Elephas maximus indicus: one gene and its partners. The protein of the gene in region 1 interacts with the protein of each later gene in a pairwise test. Links are inferred from orthologs where the notes say so. Each region holds a gene or a part of one and is shown in the gene's direction. Other genes may lie near its edges.

What was found. The genes of interacting proteins can lie anywhere in the genome.
Region 2: the proteins of CDC5L (region 1) and AKAP6 interact in a two-hybrid assay, tested with the Homo sapiens proteins (2 studies listed by BioGRID and IntAct). The link is inferred for Elephas maximus indicus from reciprocal best matches to the Homo sapiens genes CDC5L and AKAP6.
Region 3: the proteins of CDC5L (region 1) and PPFIA2 interact in a two-hybrid assay, tested with the Homo sapiens proteins (2 studies listed by BioGRID and IntAct). The link is inferred for Elephas maximus indicus from reciprocal best matches to the Homo sapiens genes CDC5L and PPFIA2.

The regions. Positions count from the first base shown.
Region 1 is NC_064819.1:108,943,181-108,950,779, forward strand, and holds the start of CDC5L (cell division cycle 5-like protein), read left to right. Parts: upstream 1-4,587; 5' UTR 4,588-4,825; coding exon 4,826-4,870; intron 4,871-7,431; coding exon 7,432-7,535; intron 7,536-7,599.
Region 2 is NC_064828.1:44,568,766-44,575,839, forward strand, and holds the start of AKAP6 (A-kinase anchor protein 6), read left to right. Parts: upstream 1-4,063; 5' UTR 4,064-4,088; coding exon 4,089-4,111; intron 4,112-7,074. UniProt on the Homo sapiens protein: Binds to type II regulatory subunits of protein kinase A and anchors/targets them to the nuclear membrane or sarcoplasmic reticulum. May act as an adapter for assembling multiprotein complexes.
Region 3 is NC_064822.1:144,442,139-144,449,144, reverse strand, and holds the start of PPFIA2 (liprin-alpha-2), read left to right. Parts: upstream 1-3,995; 5' UTR 3,996-4,070; intron 4,071-4,774; 5' UTR 4,775-4,882; intron 4,883-7,006. UniProt on the Homo sapiens protein: Alters PTPRF cellular localization and induces PTPRF clustering. May regulate the disassembly of focal adhesions.

The DNA.
Region 1 (7,599 bases):
GTAATGAGATAAGAGAAGTTGAAGAGCTTGACAATTGGCAACCATCGGTGCCCTTCCTATCAAGTTTACTCCCTCCTGGTGGGTTAAAGAGCATTCAAAAACTAACGTAAAAACTAGAGGCGAGACCCAAAGAGCAGACTTTTGAGAGGCTTCCATCAATGGAAAGAAGGCAAAAGGCTCTCCTGGAGTGGGAGTGGATGGTGTCTATTGCCACAGGCAGTGCTTTGGGCAGATATCATGGCTCTGCATCTCAGGTTGACTGTGTTGGTTGAGAACTGTTAGTCTTGCAATGGAACACAGCCTTTAACTCCATTCCTCTCTCCACAGGTTCTTTGGACTTTACAAAACAATCCTGAGCAGAGACAGCCCACAGAGCAAGCGCTGATGAGCCTCATCCAGTTGATTATCTTTGTCAGTGTTGCTGTCCTCAATCAAATGTTTGATTTCAACAAGCCAATCACCGTACTTAGCTTTTTTTTAACTTTATATCTTGAAAACTTTCAAACTTACCGAAAAGTTGCAAGAATAGAACAATGAACACCCATATATTCTTGACCTAGATTCTGCAGTTGTTAACATCAGTCCACATTTGTGCACGCTCTCTCTCTCATATTATTAATATTATTATTTTGACCATTTGACTATACTATTTAAGAGTAGTGGTAGACATCATAATTCTTCACACCTCCATACATCAGCAGCATCTCCTAAGGTCAAGAACATTCTCTAACATAACCGTAATACGAACGCCAAGTTCAGGGAATTTAACATGGCACAGTGGTTAAAAGCTTGGTTGCTAACCAAAGGTCATCAGTTTGAATCCACCAGCTGCTCCTTGGAAACCCTATGGGGCAGTTCAACCCTGTCCCATAGAGTCCCTGTGGTTCAGAATTGACTTGATGGCAACGGGTTAATATTGATACAATCCTATTATCTAATACATAGTGCTCATTCAAATTTTATCAATTGTCCTAGTCATTTCCATATGGCAGTTTTTTTTTTTTTTTTTTACTGATCCAGTATTTAATCTAGCCATCATGGTATTGCATCCAGTTGTCATGTCTTTAGTCTCCTTTAATCTGGAACGGTTCCTCAGCTTTTCTTTGTTTTCCATGAAATTAACATTTTTGAAGCATTCAGGTAATTTCTTTGGGTTTGTCTCTCTGATGTTTCCTCATGATTAGGTCCAGGTCATCCATTTTCAGCGGGAATATCACAGACATGATGACTGTCCTCAGTGCATCACGTTGTTTTCTTATTTGTTCTAGAATTGCTAGTCAGAGAGCATGGGTAGATATTTGTTCCCCTTCTGGTTTTAAAAGTCAGAAAAATCATTAAGAAGGAGTGAAGAACACACACATCCAAGTCAGAGTAAAACACATCTGTAAAGCATTGTTAAGGAGTCTCTGTGTGGTGCAAACAGTTCAGTGCTTGTAGCTGAAACGTTGGTGCTTCCAACACACCCAGAGGCTACTGTTCTTATTTAAATTTTTTTTTTTTTAGCATCGTTACTGGTTATAAACATAGGTACCAGGTCAAAAGTTTAGCCCAGAGGAGACAGACCATCTGGACGAGAAAGCAGTGAAGTGATAGGCTAAGGGTATCATGGTGACAGGAATCCAGGCCAAGCTTACGCTGGATGAGGATGAAGCTTTCTTTGGTTAATCAATTTGTCAATCACCATGATGTTTATTAGTACCTAGTATGCGTTCAGAAGCCCTAGCTTGCCTGCTAACCGAAAGGTCTGCAGTTCGAATCCACCAGCTGCTCCTGGGAAACCCTCAGAGGGCCACTATGAGTTAAGAATCGACTCGACAGCAACAGGTTTGGTTTGGTTCAGTATGTGTTCAGTACCATATGTGAATTGGTAGATGGGTAGAAGACATAAGGTATCGACTGAGGCCCTAATATGTGCCAGGCACTTTATTAGCTTTTGTAAACAATATAGGTATAACTCTAATGAGTGGTAGATAATTCCAGTGGGAAACAGATATTAACCAATTAATTAGACAAATAATTACAGTTGTGGTAAGTGCTCTGAATAAGCACTTGAAGAAATACTAGGTTATGAGAATGAAAGGTGAATATGACCTACTCAGGGAAGGTTTCTTCCTGAAAGTGACAATTTGAGATTTGAGAGATAAGTAGGCATTAATTAGTGAACGTAGGGGTGTATCAGTTACTAACAGTTTGGCTGCAAGTAACAGAAAACTCATGTAAATGGTTCAAATAAGACAGAGATTCCTCACCTGTCTTAGTTATCTAGTGCTGCTATAACAGAAATAGCACAAGTGGGTGGTGTTAACAAAAAAATTAATTTTATCACAGTTTAGGAGGCAAGTTCCAAATTCAGAACGCTGGCTCTAAGGGAAGGCTTTCTCTCTCTCTCAGTTCTGGAAGATCCTTGTCTCTTTGGCTTCTGCTTCCTGGTTCCTGGAGGTCTCCATGTGTCTTGGCATCTATCTTCATTTCTCCTGTGTTCCCTTGTTTAATCTCCCTCATATCTCAAAAGAGACTGACTCAAAATACACCCTACACAAATCCTGCCTCATTAACGTAAGAAAGACAACCCATTCCCAAATGGGATTATACCCACAGGCATAGAGGTTAGGATTTACAACACATTTTAGGGGAACATAATTCAATCCGTAACACAACCCCGATAACAGAAATCCACAGGGTAGTAGTTCAGGACTGGTGGGACAGCTACACAGTTGATTATCAGAACCCATCTCTTTCCATCTTTTTGCTCCCTCATCTTAGCACTTAGCTTCCATCCTCAAGGTCACCTCATAATCCAAAATAGCTCCTAGTGTTCTCACCATTACATATACACTTCAGGCATACAGAAGAAGCAAAGGGAGAAAGAAAAGGGTGAGCACCAGCTATCTGTCAATTCCTTTAAGAAGCTCTCCCTTCTATCTAACTGATTACACTTAACTTTAAGGTTGAGAAATGTAGCTTTTTATTTTATTTTTTTATATTCTTAATGACATTTTACCTGATTTAGAAAACAGTGCTTGTATAAAAATTCATACAGAGTTTCTAGAAAGCATTCAATTACCAAAAAAATATCTGGGCTCCTATAATATTCAGGAGCCCTGGTGGCATAGTGGTTAAGAGCTTGGCTGGTAACCAAAAGGTTGGCAGTTGGAATCCACCAGCCACCCCTTGGAAACCCCATGGGACAGTTCTACTCTCTCCTAGCCGGTGGCTAGGAGTTGGAGTCAACTTGAAGGCAATGGGTTTTTTTTTTTTTTTAAATAATATTCAGTTTTCTAAGGATGCCCTCGAATCAATGGTAAAATGTAGATTTTATGTGAGATTTCATTATTTTTGGTAAAGCTATTCTCATTTTATTGATATCCTTTTGGTGTTTAATACCCACTTGGTACAAGTCAGGAAAACATGAAGGCTGGCTCTATATCAAGTATTAATACTATTGTCGTATAGCTTCAGTATCATCTGTCTGCACAGCTAAGGAGGGTGAGAGACTCCCATTAGTCAGGCAAGAGGCAAACATCTGGAGAAAGAGGTGAGAAATAAGCCAACCATATACAGTGAGGCTGTGACACGGTCAGACTAACAACTCTCAGCATTTCAGTAGCCAATCTCCTTCAGGACCAAGGAAACCCCACTGGTTGGCTAATGAGTGCACATATTATCAGGAAGGACCAGTCCATGGAGTAGGGAATCATGCTTGGTAAAATACAGAGACACTGAAAAAGAGGGAGACCTCCTACATACGGATCGACACAAAGGCTGCAACAATGGACTCAAACAGCGACGATTGTGAGGATGACACAGGACTGGGCAGTGTTTCCTTCTGTTGTACACAGGGTTGCTATGAGTCAGAACTGACTCAAAGGCACCTAAGAAGAACATGTATCACAGGTCCCTGGGTGATACAAATGGTTTGTAGCCCTGGCGGTCTGGTGGTTAAGAGCTACAGCTGCTAAACACCGCCCCCCCCCCTCAAAAAGACAGCAGTTCCACTATTCACTGAGTCCGAACCCACTCCACCGCAATGCTTTTTTTTTTTCTTTACTAACCTAAAGGTTGGTGTTTTGCACACCCAGCCGGGCGATCTGCTGCCATAAAGCCTAGAAAACCCTGCAGAGCAGTTCCACTCTATAACATATGGGGTTCCATGAGTTGGCATCATCTTGACAGCAATGGTTTGTGGTTTGTTTCTTTTTTATGCACCAGATATTGTGCTAGGTTTATGTACACGATCTCATTTAGACCTTAGGACAACCCTACGAGGTTGGTACCATTATTACCTCTATTTTATAGATTAGGAAACAGACAAATAGCCTATTGCCTGAGCCTTCTCTGAATAAATTCCTGTTAATTAAACGCCCGATAAAGCGCTAAACTAACAAAATAACAAAGCTCTTTTCTGACCACCTGGGCTGAATTCTTCACGCGTGACATCCCCATCTCCTGCCACTCGGTGACGTCACAACCAACCTCACCACTTATGTTTCCTGCCAAACGCCACACCGCTACTATCTCGCGAGAGTCGCAGTTTCCGCCAACAGGTCCTGAACTCGCGTGCGGCGTAGAGCGCTTTGGCTAGAGAGGTTTGACGATTTCCCCAGGCTAGAGTTTCAACAATGCACTGCTTTCCTTGCAGCCACTCGAGATCTCGCGAGACTTTCTATTCCTGTCCTCCCCACCCCCAGGTTGCGACTGCGCAGATCGCCTCAAAGCAGAAGGTCGCGGTTGGAGGAAGTGGCGGCTTTAGGTCCCGTGGCCCCAGCGCCGTTAGTACTTCTCTGAAGCTCACCTCGGCCGTTTGCCGAGACAGCCCGCCACCAAGATGCCTCGAATTATGATCAAGGGGGGCGTGTGGAGGAATACTGAGGTGAGTCTCCTTTTCCCGCCGTCCGCTGCCCTCCGCCCCCTCCGGCGGCTTTTGCGCACGCGCGCGGGCGTCGGGGCGGTCAGGAAGATGCCCTGCGCGGTCTGCGTCTTCTCTGGGTGCCCCAGCGCTTGCTTTTTGAGCTCCTGAAGGACAGGGACCGTGATTAACCCGACTGAATACCCAGCCCGAGTTCACTGCCAGGCACTTGTTAGGTCCTCACTGAACATTTGCTGAATTTGGAGGCTGCTCCCCGCTCTGGTGGAACTCAGTGTGGAGGGGGAGAATGGGGCATCGGCGAGAGTTGGTTTTTCGGAGCACCTCCTTCTCGGCCTGGGCACCCGCGCCTCTCTCCAGTGCTCAAAAAGAGGAAAATAAAGAAGTGTTGTGGCCACAACTTTGTTTCTTTATTGACTCCCTGGCAGAGAGGAAGCAGCTTGAGTGGCAGGTTCAAGGATCCCGTTTATACCCGTATCCTTCTGGTTATCTGTTATCAAGGCATAACCTGCCTCTTCTCCCGACAGATGCCAAGATCCATCTCGTCCTATCTTCCTGGCACTCCGACTCAGCCTGGATAATAGATAGGACAGACTGTGTGTAGCAGTTTCTGCTTCCAGAACTGTAGTGGATTATGCCATTGGCGAGCCAAAGGACAGTAGAGGAGTGAAACAGAAATAATACTTTAGTGCAATTTGTATTCAGAGCGCTCTGAGTTTATCTCTTTTCGGAGCACATTTTACATTCTGTACCCTCTGCTTCAAATGTCCTCCTACTGCTTGGCACCTTGAGCATTCAGACCTCAACCCAGAAACTTGTTGTAGTCTTTGCCCACTTACCAGAATTAATTGCATCCTCAGTGGTCTCACTGTACTTCTTTAATTAATTTGTTAGCTTGCTTTGTCGTTTTTTAAGGATCATGTCATTTCTTTGTGCTGCTGGGAGAGTTTCTTAACCTCTGAGTCCCACTCTCCTCATTTCTTTAAATAGGAGTGATAATAATATATACGGAGCTCTGGTGGTGCAGTGGGCTCGGGCTCAACGGCGGTTTGAACCCACCAAGTGGCTCCTCAGGAGAAACACCTAGTGATCTGCTCCTGTAAAGATTATAGCCTAGAAAACCCTATGGTGCAGTTCAGCTCTGTCACATGGGGTCACTAAAAACCCCAAAACCCAGTGCTGTCGAGTCGAATCTGACTCATAGCGACCTTATGGGGTTACTATGAATTCAAAATCCACTTGATAAACCAAACAACAGTACCTAGCTCTTTAGGATTAAATAAGTTAATACATTTGGAAAATTTAGAACAGAGTCTGGCAGATAGCACTGCAAGAGGACAAGGACTAGGTCTTAGTGTTCCTTGGATCTAGGCCAATAACCAACATGAAGTAGGTAGCTTGGCAAATGTTTGGTGAGCGAAACTAGGGGGGTAAAAGCGGTTGCCGTGGAGTTGATTCAGAGGCATGGCAACCCCTTGTGTGGTACATAACTGCTATATATATAGTTAGTTGAAGATGTGTTTAAGTACAGCAGTACTGTAACAAAGTTCCAAATGAAGTCAGTGAAAAGCCTGCCTGACAGCTTGCACTGAGGGAACCAGGCTATTTAAAGTGGAGAAGAGATGACTTCTGGAGGAGAGACATACGTACAAAATCAAGTAACAACAGGCTTCCTATACAGTGCTCAAAGCCCTGCAGTCTTTTTTATGTCTGATGATGAAGAGGGGGCACAGTGCGGTGGCTCAAGCAGAAGGCATGTAGCTCAGGTTGAATGTGGAAAAAGTCCTAAAAGTAAAATGACCCAAATGCATTCATTCATGACTGCATTGTCCCTGGATTCTCTGGCTCAGCTTGCCAGGTGGCTCAGCATAGGGACCCTGTGGAAATAGTATCTAAGAGACTGGGGGAGGTTGGAGAGAGAGCTTACTGGTGGGGTAGGGGAGAAATATGTACTTCTTAGGTTAGATCTGGGACATGGATTCTTGAGTCATGGTGAGAGTTAAGGACTGGAGAGTAAATGTCATGGATTAGCAGGAGTCAGGAGGCCTGGACTGAAGAATGGATTCACTCGAGTCTTGATTTGCTTCTTGAGCGCTGGGAGGTCTATTTAATTCTTTTTCCCCATGTATATAGGACCTAGTACAAGGTTAAGTGTTCAGGAAATGTTTTTTGAGCTAACGAATACATGAATGAGCTATACCCTTTTGAAGAGAATAATGGTTACACATTGGAAGATACTTTTAACCTACCAAGTATGGTTTTTTGGATTGGACTGTTCCCACTCCCAGTTTATGGGGATGGGAGAATGTGCATGTGAGGGAAGGTGGGATGTTCTTCTGATGACCTTCTTAATTTCTTGGATTTTGCAGATTCTGGCTTGCTGTTTATCATTATAGTAAATAAGATGTTAGGACCTCTTTTTTTTAAACCTAGGATTTGTAGGTGTGCATGTATGTATCCTTTTCCTTGAAATTTTTCAGCAGCCCTGACAGTTAATTTAAATTTTGTCTTTTCTCATTTGGACTTTAGTGATTGAATGTATTATATTTCTTTGACAATTCTTTTAGGATGAAATTCTGAAAGCAGCAGTAATGAAATATGGGAAAAACCAGTGGTCTAGAATTGCCTCGCTGCTGCATAGAAAATCAGCAAAACAGTGCAAAGCCAGATGGTATGTACCAGTTAATGAATAGAAAACAAAACGACCTTAATTATGATGAGGGAAAATGTCAGTT
Region 2 (7,074 bases), on another chromosome or scaffold:
AGGGTCCTTCCACTGCTGTTGTTAGGTGCTGTCAAGTCGGTTCCTACTCCCTGTGTACAACAGAATGAAACACTGCCTGGTCCTGCACCATCCTCACAAGCACTGCTGTGTTTGAACCCATTCTTGCAGCGCTGTGTCAGTCCATCTCGTTGAGGATCTTCCTATTTTTCGCTGACCCTCTACTTCACCAAGCATGAGATATCCTTCTCCAGGGACTGGTACCTCCCGATAGCATGTCCAAAGTACCTAAGACGAAATCTCACCATCCTCACTTATAAGGAGCATTGTGGCTGTTCTTCTTCCAAGACAGATTTGTTTGTTCTGGCCAAGACCCATTGCTGTCGATTCCTACTCATAGTGACCCTACAGGACAGAGTAGAACTGCCCCGTACAGCTTCCAAGGAGCACCTGGTGATTCAAACTGTCGCCTGGTTGGTTAGTAGCCTGAGCTCTTAACCACTGCGCCACCAGGGCTCCCGTTCTTCTGGCAGTCCATGGTATATTCAAAATGCTTTACTAACACCATAATTCAAAGGCATCAATTCTTCACCAGTGTTCTTTATTCATTGTCCAGCTTTTGCATGCATTGAGGCACCTGAAAATACCATGGCTTGAGTCAGGCACACTTTAGTTCTCAAAGTGACATCTTTGCTTTTAACACTTTAGAGAGGTCTTTTGCAGCAGATTTGCCCAATATAATATGTTGTTTGATTTCTTGACTGCTGCTACCATGGGTGTTGACTGTGAATCCAAGTAAAATGAAATCCTTCAAAACTTAACTATTTTCTGTTTATCATGATGTTGCTTATTGGTCCAGTTGTGAGGATTTTATTTTCTTTATATTGAGGTGTAATCCATACTGAAGGGTGTTGGTAGTCTTTGATCTTCATGAGTGTGTGTTTCAAGTCCTGTTTGTTTTCGCCCCGTTCTTCATATAGTCCACTTTCTCGAATTATTTGTTCAGCATAGAGATTGAATAAGTATAGTGAAGGGATACAACCTAACACACATCCTTCCTGATTTTAAATCACACAGTATCCCCTTGTTCAAGCTGCCCTTTGAAATCTTCTGTTCAGCTTTTACTTCATCATTTCTTCCATTTACTTTAGCTACTGTACATTTAAGGGCAAGTTTCAGAGTCTCTTATAATATCCATTTTTGTCTTTTCTTAATTTCCTGTCTTTTTAACAAACTTTTGCTTTCTTCATGTATGATGTCCCTGATGGCACCTCACAACTCATCTGGTCTTTGACATTGATGTTCAATGTGTCAAATCTATTTTGAGATGGTCTTTAAATTAAGGTGGGGTATACTCAAGATTATATTTAGGCTTTCATGGACTTGTTTTAATTTTCTTCAGCTTCAATTTGAACTTGCATATGAGCAATCGAGGAAACCCTGGTGGTGTAGTGGTTAAGTGCTACCGCTGCTAACCAAAGGGTTGGCAGTTCAAATTCACCAGGCGCTCCTGGGAAACTCAATGGGGCAGTTGTACTCTGTCCTATAGGGTCGCTATGAGGCGGAACCGACTCGACTGCACTGGGTTTGGTTTTTGGTTTTTTTGGTTATGAGCAGTTGACAGCGTGTTCTGCAGTTGGTCCCCGGCCTTTTTCTGACTGATGCTACTGAGCTCCTCCATGGTCTCTTTCCACAGATGTAGTTGATATGATTCCTGTGCATTCCATCTGGTGGTGTTTCTGTCACCAAGACCATAGTTTCCAGTTACCAATCCTCCTTCTTTGTTTCCTGCTTTTGCCTTCCAATCATCGGTAACTATCAGTACATCTTGATTGCATGTTTGATCAATTTCAGGCTGCAGAACTTGGTAAAAATCTCCAGTTTCCTCACCTTTGGATTAGTGGCTGTGCGTAAATTTGAATAATAGTCATATTAATACTGGCCTTTGTAATAGGTATATGGATATTATTCTATCACTGACAGCACTATACTTCAGGATAGACCTTGAATGTTCTTTTTGACAATAAATGCAATGCCATTCCTCTTCAATTTGTCATTTCTGGCATAGTAGACCATATGATTGTCTGATTCACAATGGCCACTACCAGTATATTTACCTCACCAATGCCTGGGATAACAATCTGCAACCATTCCATCTCATTTTTGATGACTTCCAATTATCCTAGATTCATACTTCGGACATTCTATGTTTTGATTATTAATGGATGTTTGCAGCTGTTTCTTCTAATTTTGACACATGCCACATCAGCAAATGAAGGTCCTGAAAGCTTGACTCCATTCACGTCATTAAGGTCGGCTCTACTTTGAGCAGGCAGCTCTTTCTCAGTCGTATTTTGAGTGCCTTCCAACCTGAGGGGCTCATCTTCTGGCACTGTATCAGACAATGTTCAGCTGCTATTCATAAAGTTTTCACTGGCCACATATTTTTAGAAGTAGATCACCAGGTCCTTCTTCTAGACTGTTTTAGTCTGGAAGCTCGGCTGAAACCTGTCCACCATAGGTGACCCTGCTGATATTTGAAATACTGGTGGCATAGCTTCCAGCATCACAGCAACACACAAGGCAGCACAACAGGACAAACCCAGAGATGAGTGCTGGTTCATTTGCTACTGTCTTCTTTTTTTGCCATACTCACTTCCCTCATGTTGTACCCAGGGATTCCCCAGGACCCCTCCTAAATATCCCATCTAGAAAGAACTCCAAGGGTTTTTCAGAACTCACCAGTTCGAGTTTTATTCCTTCAGGGCTGTGCTAGCATAAACTAAAATAGACCAGTGTTTCCCAAATTTGCATAGTGATAATGCCAGACTCAACTGCACAATCTCCCGAGAGGCCTGTGCCAAAGCATTCAAAAGAAGATATGGCATGGCTCCCAGATGGACGTCTGTCTGAGTTTTAATTAGGGCTTTGAACTGGTTCTTCCCAGTTTAGTCATGGGTGAAGAAGCGAAACCAAAACAGACCCAAATTTTTAAGACTTGGGTGAACTGGAACGATAACCAGAATTTGAAAAAAATTGTGAGTAGAAGCCTTGCTAGAAACTTAGTCTCCCCCTTAGAAAACAAAGGCAGCCAACGAAATCTCTTGTCTGTTCCATTTTGAGAAGAGCAGGAAGCAGCAGTGCCCTGCTCAAAGATGGCGCCCACCAGGCCTGGGAATGTGTGTGTTGGACTCCACGGTCCTGCCAATAATCCAGTCTCACACATCAGGCTCCTGAAAGGGCTCACTACACCTCTTCTGAGTCTTTAATTCCAGGGCTTCAACCTGTAATTTTCCAGATCACACAAGCTGTAAAAATTTGGATCTGTTCTGGTTTTGCTCTGGCCATGACTGAACTGGTTCAAACCGGTTTGAAGCCATGGTTTTAAAAGCTACTTTTAATGAAATGAGAAAGTTGCTGTGGTAAGCCTAGTGTCAGATGTTTTTGTGCCTGAGCCCTTTCACAGCAACCAGTTCCCTTAACTTGTAGCAGATAACCTCCTGTTCTGCTTCACTGAAAGAAAAAAAAAATGAGGCTCTCACAGATCAACTTCCTTAATTTCTTGTCCTTCCCTACAAACTTACCTGTATTCATGCTCATGCTCATCCTCATCCTCATCTGCCCCCCCCCCCCCCCCCCGTCTCAGAGCAGCAGTGTCCTTTGTATGGAAAACACTTCTGCTTGATGCAGTAACTGCATTGTCTAGACTCTAGAGATACCCTTCAGGGTTATCTGATTCCAATTCTGTGGAAGCTATTTTACAAGTCTGTACATTGTAGATAACTGGTAACAGTGCAAAATGATTCTTTTCTATAGACAGGTAAATTCTGTCCTGCCCAATACAGGTTCAATTGACTTCTCTGTACCACTCTGGAAGAAGCTGGTTTTGCCTCCATTTGCGCATGCATTTCAAAATGCCGTTACTCCATATAAATTTGTGCGTTTTTGATTTCTCCTTTGAACTGGTTGTAGCATCTGCATTGTTCCTTCATTGATTAATACGTTAAATAAAATCTTTAACCTGTTCATTTTATGTCTGTATGTGAGACATGATTTTATGTATATATATATATATTTTTTTTTTTTACATTGTCTTTTAGCAATTTGGAGGTCTTCGGCTGAGATGCCCGATGGATTCACATATCAGAACCAGGTATACCTTTCACCAGAGAAGTGCACCTCCTGAGCAGCTTAAAGCCCAGGAGCATCTTCTTTTGGCTCCCTTAGTGACACTAGAACTTTGCTGATTGTTTTTATAATTTAATTTTCTTCTCTCCTAATTTTGTGGTTTGTCTTTGTTCTGTTTTCAGCTGTTAAGTTGTTCCTCACTCCTGGTGGCAGTGACTGGGAATTTGGTTTTATGGTCTGTTTGGTGATCTCTGTAAATGGACTAGTGTTTTATAGAAATCTAGTCTCTTGTTGGCAGAGAAACAACAAAGAAATTAGTTTGTTAGTCTTATTTTTTGCCTAAATTTGTCAGTTTTGGGTACAAATCAGTTAAGAATGTTGTGCCCACTGAGAGAACACCTTTTTGACATCTGATGCCTTTTTGTGCTTCTGTATTTACTCTTGACCCATGCCTGAAATTTGGAATTGAAGGTGTGAGTTCTTATCTATACAGAAATATGTATGTAATTCCGAAAGGTCTTCACCATTCATGGTATGAGTGTATAATGTTTTCTTAAATCTGGATGGTATTTATAAAGTAGATGATAAAATCTCCTAAATTAAAGGTGCCCTCTTCTGAACAGCTTATGAGATAAATAAGTGCTTATATAAATATAATATTCCTGTAATTCCCAGGAACTAAGGAAATGGAATTTCTAAAACTTTAAATATGCTGGATTAAAAAAATATTCTTAAACAAATCAGCTCAGGTACATTTTAAAAATTCAAATTCAAATAATATAGGTAAATCTTTGGCAGACTAGACTTGTTTAATACTTTCTGTTTAATAAAAACAGCCATGTCTTCTCTGATTTATCAGTGTTTAACTCACACACACTCATTTTTATTACACTTGGGTAGAGTTTTCCTGAACTTATACAGGTTCACTGATAGGCTGGCATTGCTTCTACTTAATATTTGATTATGAAAAGTATAAATTTGTGTTTGACCAAACTGAATCCTTATTCTAATGAACTTTATTTCAGTAGTAATCATGTTCTGTAGTAGGTCAGCTTGACAATAAATTTTCCAAGATTTTTAGGTAACTTAAAACCTTGGAGTGGTATTAAATTGGGTTAATTAATGGATAATCATTAGATATCTAGATCTTTTCTAAGTAAGGTAGAAATTGTTAATTTTAATATTAATTACCAAGCATCAGTTTAACTTATGTAAGAGATATTAGTGACTGTAGAAAGCTGTATATACTCATGAGCTCTCTTAGTCTGATAAAATGATGGAATATGACAGTTCAAATTATCTACCCTCCATTTTTGTCTATGAAATATGTTTTTATATTACTTTGGTTAAAAGATATATTATAAATGATTGAGATGACACTTAGAAGCAATAATTTCAGAGAAATATAACTGTGTACATGCTTCTGTTTTTTAAGAGAAAGAGTAGTTTTGTCCAAAACAGTGGAATAAAGTTTTTTTTTAATAATATCATTTTTTTCTATCTCTGATCTTCTCTCATTATTCTCTCTCTATTGTCTGTGGTAGTTCTCCTTTTTTATGCCTGATGTTGATAATTTGTGTGTTGTCTTTTTATTTTCCTGATAGACTGGCTAGAATTTTATTATGTTTTAAAAAAAACAGTTTTTGGTTTCATTTATCTTCCCTAATGCTTGTCCATTTTCTATGTCACTTATTTTTCCTTCCTTCTTTCTACCTTAGATTTAATTTGCTCTTCTTTCTGTAGTTTCTTAAAATGGAAACTTAGTTTGTTGATTTTAGAACCTTCTTTTTTAATATAAGCATTTAAAGCCACTGCATTAGCTAGATCTCATACATTTTAACGTGCTATGTTTTCATTTACATTAAGTTCCAAAAGAAACAAACCTGCCTTTGCTGTGTCCCAAAGGTTTTGGTATGATGTGTTTTCATCCTCATTTGATTCTAGGAATTTTTTGATTCCGTCTTTGATTTCTTCTATTACCCAGTGGCTTTTAAGCAGGGTGACATTTTCTTTGTTCCCCTTACTCTTCTGTGCTGAATTCCTTTTGTTTGTGAATTTTTTTTTCTTTAATTTTTGTAGATTTTGTGTATACTGAGACTTTGTTTTTCTTCTTTATTTTGACGAGTAGGTTTGTTAACTTTCTTTGTGGTTACCTTTAAATTTACCCTTTATCTTCCCTAAGTCCTTTATTACTTGATATCACCTTGACTTCCTCTTCATTTAAAAATTTTATACCTCCATTTGAAAGTTTATTCTCTCTTTTATTCTTCTGATGTTGTTTTTATTTACAGATTGACCTCTCTGGTTCCCTGTTGTAAATCTCTTAGTTTTGTTTTACCCTTGAGAGCTCTTTACCTAAGTTGGTATTTGGCTGATGGTGTCTTGCATCCTAGATTCAGGTAGTTGTCTGATGTTGCTGGTTCTCTAACCAAAGGACTCCCTTTAATAATTCTTGTAAGTTTGGTTTGGTTTTTATGTATTACCTTAATTTCTGTTTATCTGGAAATGTCCTAATTTCACCATGGTACTTGAACAAGAGTTCTGCAGGCCATATTATTCTTGGTTGGAAACTTTTTTTTTTCAAGGTTTTATACATGTCATCATATTGCTTTCTTGCCCGAATGGTTTCTGTTGTGTAATTAGAGCTTAATCTTATTGTTTCCCCTTTGTACGTGACTTTTCCTTTTTCTTGAACTATTCTCAGGATTCTTTGTCTTTGGTTTTAGAGAATGTGATTATGTCTTGGTGATTTTCTTTTGAGGTCTATCCTATATGGGGTTTGTTGAGCTACTTGGATGGTAGCTTTTCATCTTTCATGATATTAGGGAAATTTTCTGTTAGCAAATCTTCAATGTCTGTCTGTGTTTACTGTTTTCCTCCCTGTTCTTGAACTCCAATCCCACGTAAATTTTTGCTTTTGATTGTATCCCACATCATTCTCAGGGCTTCTTCATTTTTCATCATTCTTTTCTCTGATTTTTCCTCAAA
Region 3 (7,006 bases), on another chromosome or scaffold:
TAAACAGCAACTATACACATGGACCTCACTAGATGGAATACACAGAAATCAAATCGACTACATCTGTGGGAAGAGACAATGGACAAGCTCAATATCATCAGTCAGAACAAGGCCAGGGGCCAACTGTGGAACAGACCATCAATTGCTCATAATGCAAGTTCAAGTTGAAACTGAAGAAAATTAGAACAAGTACACGAAAGCCAAAGTATGACCTTGAGTATATCCCAACTGAATTTAGAGACCATCTCAAGAATAGATTAAACATGTTGAACACTAATGACCAAGGACCAGACGAGTTGTGGAATGACATGAAGGACATCATACGCAAAGAAAGCAAGGGCTCATTAAAAAGACAGGAAAGAAAAAAAAGACCAAGATGGATGTCAGAAAAGACTCTGAAACTTGCTCTTGAACTTCAAGTAGCTAAAGTGAAGGGAAGACATGATAAAGTAGAAGAGCTGAACAGAAGATTTCAAAGGGTAGCTCGAGAAGACAAAGTCAACTATTATAATGACATGTGCAAAGATCTGGAGATGGAAAATCAAAAGGGAAGAACACTGCATTTCTCAAGCTGAAAGAACTGAAGAAAAAATTCAAGCCTCAAGTTGCAATATCAAAGGATTCTATGGGCAAAATATAAAATGACTCAGGAAGCATCAAAAGAAGATGGAAGGAATACACAGAACCACTATAAAACAAAAAGAATTGGTTGACGTGCAACCATTTCAGGAGGTATCATATGAGCAGGAACCAATGGTACTGAAGGAAGAAGTCCAAGCGGCATTCAAGGCATTAGCAAGAAACAACAACAACAAAAAAAAGTCTCCAGGAATTGACAGTATACAAACTGAGATGTTTCAGCAAATGGATGCAGCCCTGGAAGTGCTCACCCATATATGCCAAGAAATCTGGAAGACAGCCAGCTGGCCAACTGACTGGAAGAGATCTATACTTATGCCTATTCCCAAGAAAGGTGATCCAACCGAATGCAGAAATTATCGAACAATATTATTAATATCACAGGCAAGGAAAATTTTGCTGAAGATCATTCAAAAGCAGCTACAGCAGTACATCAACAGGGAACCACCAGAAATGCAAGCTGGATTCTAAAGAGAATGTGGAACCAGGGATATCATTGCTGATGTCAGGTGGATCTTGGCTGAAAGCAGGTAATACTGGAAACATGGTTACCTGTGTTTTATTGATTATGCAAAGGCATTCAGCTGTGTGGATAATAACAAATTACAGATAACATTGTGAGGAATGGAAATTCCAGAACACTTAATTGTGCTCATGAGGAACCTGTACATCGATGAAGAGGCAATCTTTTGAACAGAGCAAGGGGATACTGGGCGGTTTAAAGTCAGGAAAGGCATACATCAGGATTGAATTCTTTCACCATACCTATTCAATCTGTATCCAGCAAATAATCCAAGAAGCTAAATTTTATGAAGAACAGGGCATCAAGATTGGAGGAAGACTCATTAACAACCTGCGTTATGCAGATGACACAACCTTGCTTGCTGAAAGTGAAGAGGACTTGAAGCACTTACTGATGAACATCAAAGACCACAGCCTTCAGTATGGATTGCACCTCAACATAAAGAAAACAAAAATTCTCACAACTGGATCAATGAGCAACATCATGAAAAATGGAGAAAAGACGAAGTTGTCAAGGATTTCATTTTACTTGGATCCATAATCAACATCCATGGAAGCAGGAGTCAAGAAATATTGCATTGGGCAAATCTACTGCAAAAGGCCTCTTTAAAATGTTGAAAAGCAAAGATGTCACTTTGAAGACTAAGGTGTGCCTGATCCAAGCCATGGTGTTTTAAATCAGTTCCTATGCATGTGAAAGCTGGGCAATGAATACAGAAGACCAAAGAAGAATTGACCCCTTTGAATTGTGGTGTTGGAAAAGAATATTGAATATTCCATGGACTGCCAAAAGAAGGAACAAATCTGTCTTGGAAGATGTATGACCAGAATGCTCCTTAGAAGCAAGGATGGCAAGACTACATCTCACGTACTTTGGACATGTTGTCAGGAGGGATCAGCCCCTGATTAAGGACATCTTGCTTTGTAAAGTATAGCATCAGTGAAAAAGAGGAAGACCCTCAATGAGATGAATTGACTCAGTGGCTGCAACAATGGGCTTAAGCATAACAACTGTTGTGAGGATGGCTCAGGACAGGGCAGTATTTTGTTCTGTTGTACATAGGGTCGCTACAAGTCAGAACTGACTGGACGGCACTTAACAACAACGACAGAAGTCCAAATTCTGGCTCTAGGTGAATGCTTTCTCTTTTTGTTGGTTCTCTGGGAAGATCTTTGTCTCTTCAGCCTCTGCTTCCTATTTCCTTGGAGATCTCCATGAGTCTTGGTATCTATCTTACCCCATGTCTCCTCTACTTGCTTGTTTCATCTCTTTTATATCTCAAAAGACTTTAACTCAAGATACACCTTACACTAATCCTGTTTCATTAACATAACAAAGAACCCATTCCCAAATGACATTATTACAGCAGACATAGAGGTTAGGATTTACAACACATATTTTGGGAGAACATAATTCAGTCCATAATAGGTACTGATAATATGATTAATATGAAGAAGCTGTTACAATATTAGGTATGTCTGAAAGTGGCCTTGGCTGCCTGATGAGATAATGAGTTTCCTGTGGTTAAAGTTATTTAAGCCCCATCAAATGGTAAGTTGATTGGGTGGACTAGATCCTTGCTACTCAAATTGTGGTCCCTAGGAGTTAGAAATGTAGCCTTTCAGGGTCCACCCAGTCCTACTGATCAGAATCTACCTTTTAACAAGATCCATTGGTGGCTCATATGCACATCATATTTGGAAAGCAGTGCTGCAGTTGACATGTAATTAATTATGATATTATTCCTATACTTATCTCAAATTTATAGGATTACCTTGCGATGCAGGATTTGAATGACAGTCTAGGTGAGAAGGGATTAGAAATTTGACCTCATGATGCCACTATGATGTCACTAAATTAAATGCTACCCCAGAAAGAAAGGTTATTTCTTGCACAGTGTACTTTATTCAAGTATGCTGGCATATGAGTACTGTTATTTAGATAGCTTCAGACTCTTTGCTTACATAAAAGTAAAATAAACCTCTTGAATTTTTAAGTATACTCACACTTGCTCACACATTATACCCAATGTTTAAACATTCTCTAAATTCTCTCACCCTTGTCTTTTTCATTTTTACTAAAAACAGAATAGCTGAGTCTCCCACATTGGAAGGTTTCTTTTCTGCTTAGTATAGGTATTGGTTTTGTCTCCTGCTTTCTCTCCAGCCCTAATGGGTCTGTGTGAATGGACAACAGGGCCAGAAAGAAAGATGAGTAGGTAAAGGGATGTGTAGGTATAGGGAGAATTGAAACGCGATCAAGAGACCAGACTTCCAAGACGAATTCACTGGGGCAGAGAGGGGTTATTCCAATCATACAATCCTCATCGCCAAAGTAATGAGTGAAGATCCGGAGGGGTAATCAGAAATAACAGATGCCGCCACACCCTAGATTAACTGAGGTCCCTACAATCAAAATTACTATGCCCGGGTCCCGGGAGACGGAAGCTGCTTAAAGCAATGACAAGCATGGAAGGCCAGAGAGCCAGGGGGTGCCTAAGCCCATTCGCATTCCCACCAGCGAGAACTGACACACTCTTTCCTGCAGAGATCATTGTGTGTGGGAAGCCCAGGCTGAGGAGAGCGCATCCACTTTCTACTTCTGCCCGAGCCTTCACCGGGGGCACTGGGACCAACGTGAGCTCCAGCAGCTCAGGAGCGGCTTCGCGGGAGTCGTGTGTACCCGCGAGCGCGTGTGCGTGAGGAGGAGAGCAAAGACGTGATTACTTCAGAATTTATTTAAGGGCCGGTGGAAACCACTGCAGCAGCTTCCAGGGGAAGCCCTTGTTCCAGAGGAAGAGGAGGTGCGGCTGCCGAGCAGGGAGGGGGCGGAGGAGAAGGAGTAGCAGCAGCAACCCGAGGGAAGTGAGGAGAGAAGATGCTGTAGCATCCTCGCCGGCTCCCAGCAGGTTGGTTCTCTCCGCCAACTGAAACAAGCGAAAGCAGCTTGCAAAGAGGCTGGGAGGGAAAACTGGGTGTGCGGGGCTGGCTGCTTGCCTTTCCGGAGAATAAGCACCTCCTTTAAGTGCAATGAGACACTCTAGCTCGGAAATGGGCTGGGGGCCAGAAGGGGAACTGTTCTGATTCTCTTATCCCTGGAGGCTGGCTTCCCTTTAGCGTTCCAGCTCGTGACGTTAGCCGTAAACTCCAGAGGGTCTCGGGGTGGAGGACTGGGTGGAGAACTTCCCTTCCAGATACTCTCACGCCTTTTGCTCACGTTTCAAGGGACACCCTTGGGTGGCCCGGACGCAAAGAGGGGGCAGGGCCGCTTGGTTAAGTTCCTGAAAGTGAACCTGAGTCCCCGCGTTCCCGGCTTTCCGCCCCGGGTCTCCAGCTGTACGCGGGGAGCTGCGGCTGATCCGGCAAAGGGGCCGCTGCTGCTTTAAGAGCCGCCTCCCCCCTCCTCCCTTTGAGAATGGTCTGAACCGAGCTCTGCTTCCCAAAGCAAAATTTGTAATATGCCATTTTTCCGATGGACGCTTCTCCTTTTGGCTGCTGACGGAGCCGCTGGAAGATGCCGAGTTGCTGCCACCAAGCCACCGAGCCGGGGCACGTTCCAGGAGGGCGCCGGGGCACGCGTGTCTCTAAGCTGCCTTTCTGCTCCCGTTGCTAGGGAAATGGTCCTGGAGTGTCGGGTCTGAGCCTACCCTCTCGTCAACCCCGAGACTGCGGTTGTCATTGATCAATTTGAAGAAACAGGACCCGAAATTACAGATATTAGGTACAGAAACTCTTTGAGTTACACGGTTTCTCTTCCTCTTAATTTTTTTTTTTAACACCCTCCGTCCCCACCCCGCCCCCAGGGAAGATGAGATGCAAATTCCTCTTTGCCAATTACTGTTAGGTACCTTTTGCTTTCCACCCCCATCCCTTCTATTTCTCTGCCTCCTCCCTACTTGGTTCTCTCCTGTTGGGCAGGATGAAGAATTTTAGTGTGGAAATTTTGAAGTCAACTTCTTCAGGGTGGTGGTGGGGGGTGTGGCTGAGAGATAGCTGTCCAGCTGTGTGGGGTGAGTTGATTCTTAAGCCATATGTAAATGGATTGGGGTAAAGAAAGTGCAAAATGCTTCCATTAGAGCTGATGATAATGTTTCTTGAGGACCGGGGATTTCAAAGAGGAATATTCCCGTAATGAAATTACACAATGGCTAGGACTTCTGTTGCTGAATTACTCCTTGTGGGTTAAGTGAGGTAGAGCTTACGTGGTCCTTCAGACTAAATCTTTGCAGAAGAAACTAACTGTAGAGAATAATGGCATCTTTGCCTCTAGTACAGTGTAAATTCTATGGATCTGTTTGATTAAAGTGGTTCAGTGACAAAAACAAAAAAACCTTTTGTAGCTCTGTCATGTCTGAATAGGTACAGGTACATATTGCTAAGGAACACACTGGGTCTTGAAAGCCCTTGGGCAATGACTCCAGTGGGCATTCAAAACTTTTATTTTGAAATCTGAGGGATTTAGAAGACAGTCAAGGTTATGTGCTAAGAATAAGGGACTTGGTTTTCCTGACATAAATTCTTCAAGCTAAATTTAACCACTGAGCTAATTAAACCAACCAAATTTATTATTTTCTTTCTTTCACAACAAAATAAATAGTATCTATTTTTTTTTTTTTATATAACTAGGTCTTGAAACCTTCAGTAATTTAGTGAATAAGGCATCAGTTTTCAGATGAGGATGACATAGTTTATATATCCAATTGACTTTGGGTAGGGGGTGATGAAAGGGCAAATATTAAAGCAAACTATTAGTATGCCCCTTCCTAGTTTTTTCAGGAATTACATCATGCAATGCAGTTTTTAATACTGAAAATGATTGTTAAAGTTAAAAGTGGTGTATCTGGGTGAAAAATGCTTAGATGTTAAATGACCAGAGCCTTCTGGACCATACAAGTTGCTTCAGATGTCATCCATTCTATAAGAGGATGTTTAACTCTTACACTGAATATAGATTTTTAAATGCTTTTAATACTTAAAAAGTGCACTTCTGAGATCACTCACTTACACTGTATTTTAAAGATTTTGCCAATACTTTGATATTTATATTGGCCAGAATCTGAAGTCTAATACAAGAAACTAAGCTTGTTCATGAAAATGGCCTTATTTTTTGTAGACATGGTTTTTTCCTTCTAATTTTGATGGAAAGGCTTTAGATTTATCATCTGGGTTGAATGTTTTTTGAAAAATAATGCAGCATGTATTTATTTTATTTCCTAAGTAACTTTTGCATAGTTTGATTTTTTTTAACCTGTATTTGGAGGGTTATAAGTACCCAGTAGAATTAAACATTTAGTCATGTAAGCAGAATAAGTCATAAAGGTAAAGTACCTATTCCTTCTATAAAGATGAATGTTGGTAACTTTGTAATAGAAATAACTACTTGAATATGTAACAATATATTTTTATTACATGTTCTTAGGTATCCCATTGGATGCTTACAATGGACTTATTTAATAAAAAAAAAAGCATGCATTATTATCTTTACAGAAGAGAAAATTGAAGTTGTGAGAGGTGATGTGCCTTGCGTTGGTTCACATGTCTCAGAAGGGACTCAGCAAGGGCTCAAATCAAATTCTTCTGAGTATAGATTTACTGGACTTTCTAAGTTCCTAAGCAGCTCCTCATCACAGTGTCTTTCAGATGATTAAATCAAACACAACCTTTTATACTGATCTAAGAGCCAAAAGTGTGTGAATGTCTAATGCTCCATGGTAGTGAAAAACAGAACTAGGATAGTATATTCAGGGGAAAGATTTTACCTGAGGTAAATTTTTTTTTATTCATTATAGTTATGTTTTTCCTGAAAATTAAGTTGTTGTAAGTAATTCTAATGGAGAAAGGTAAT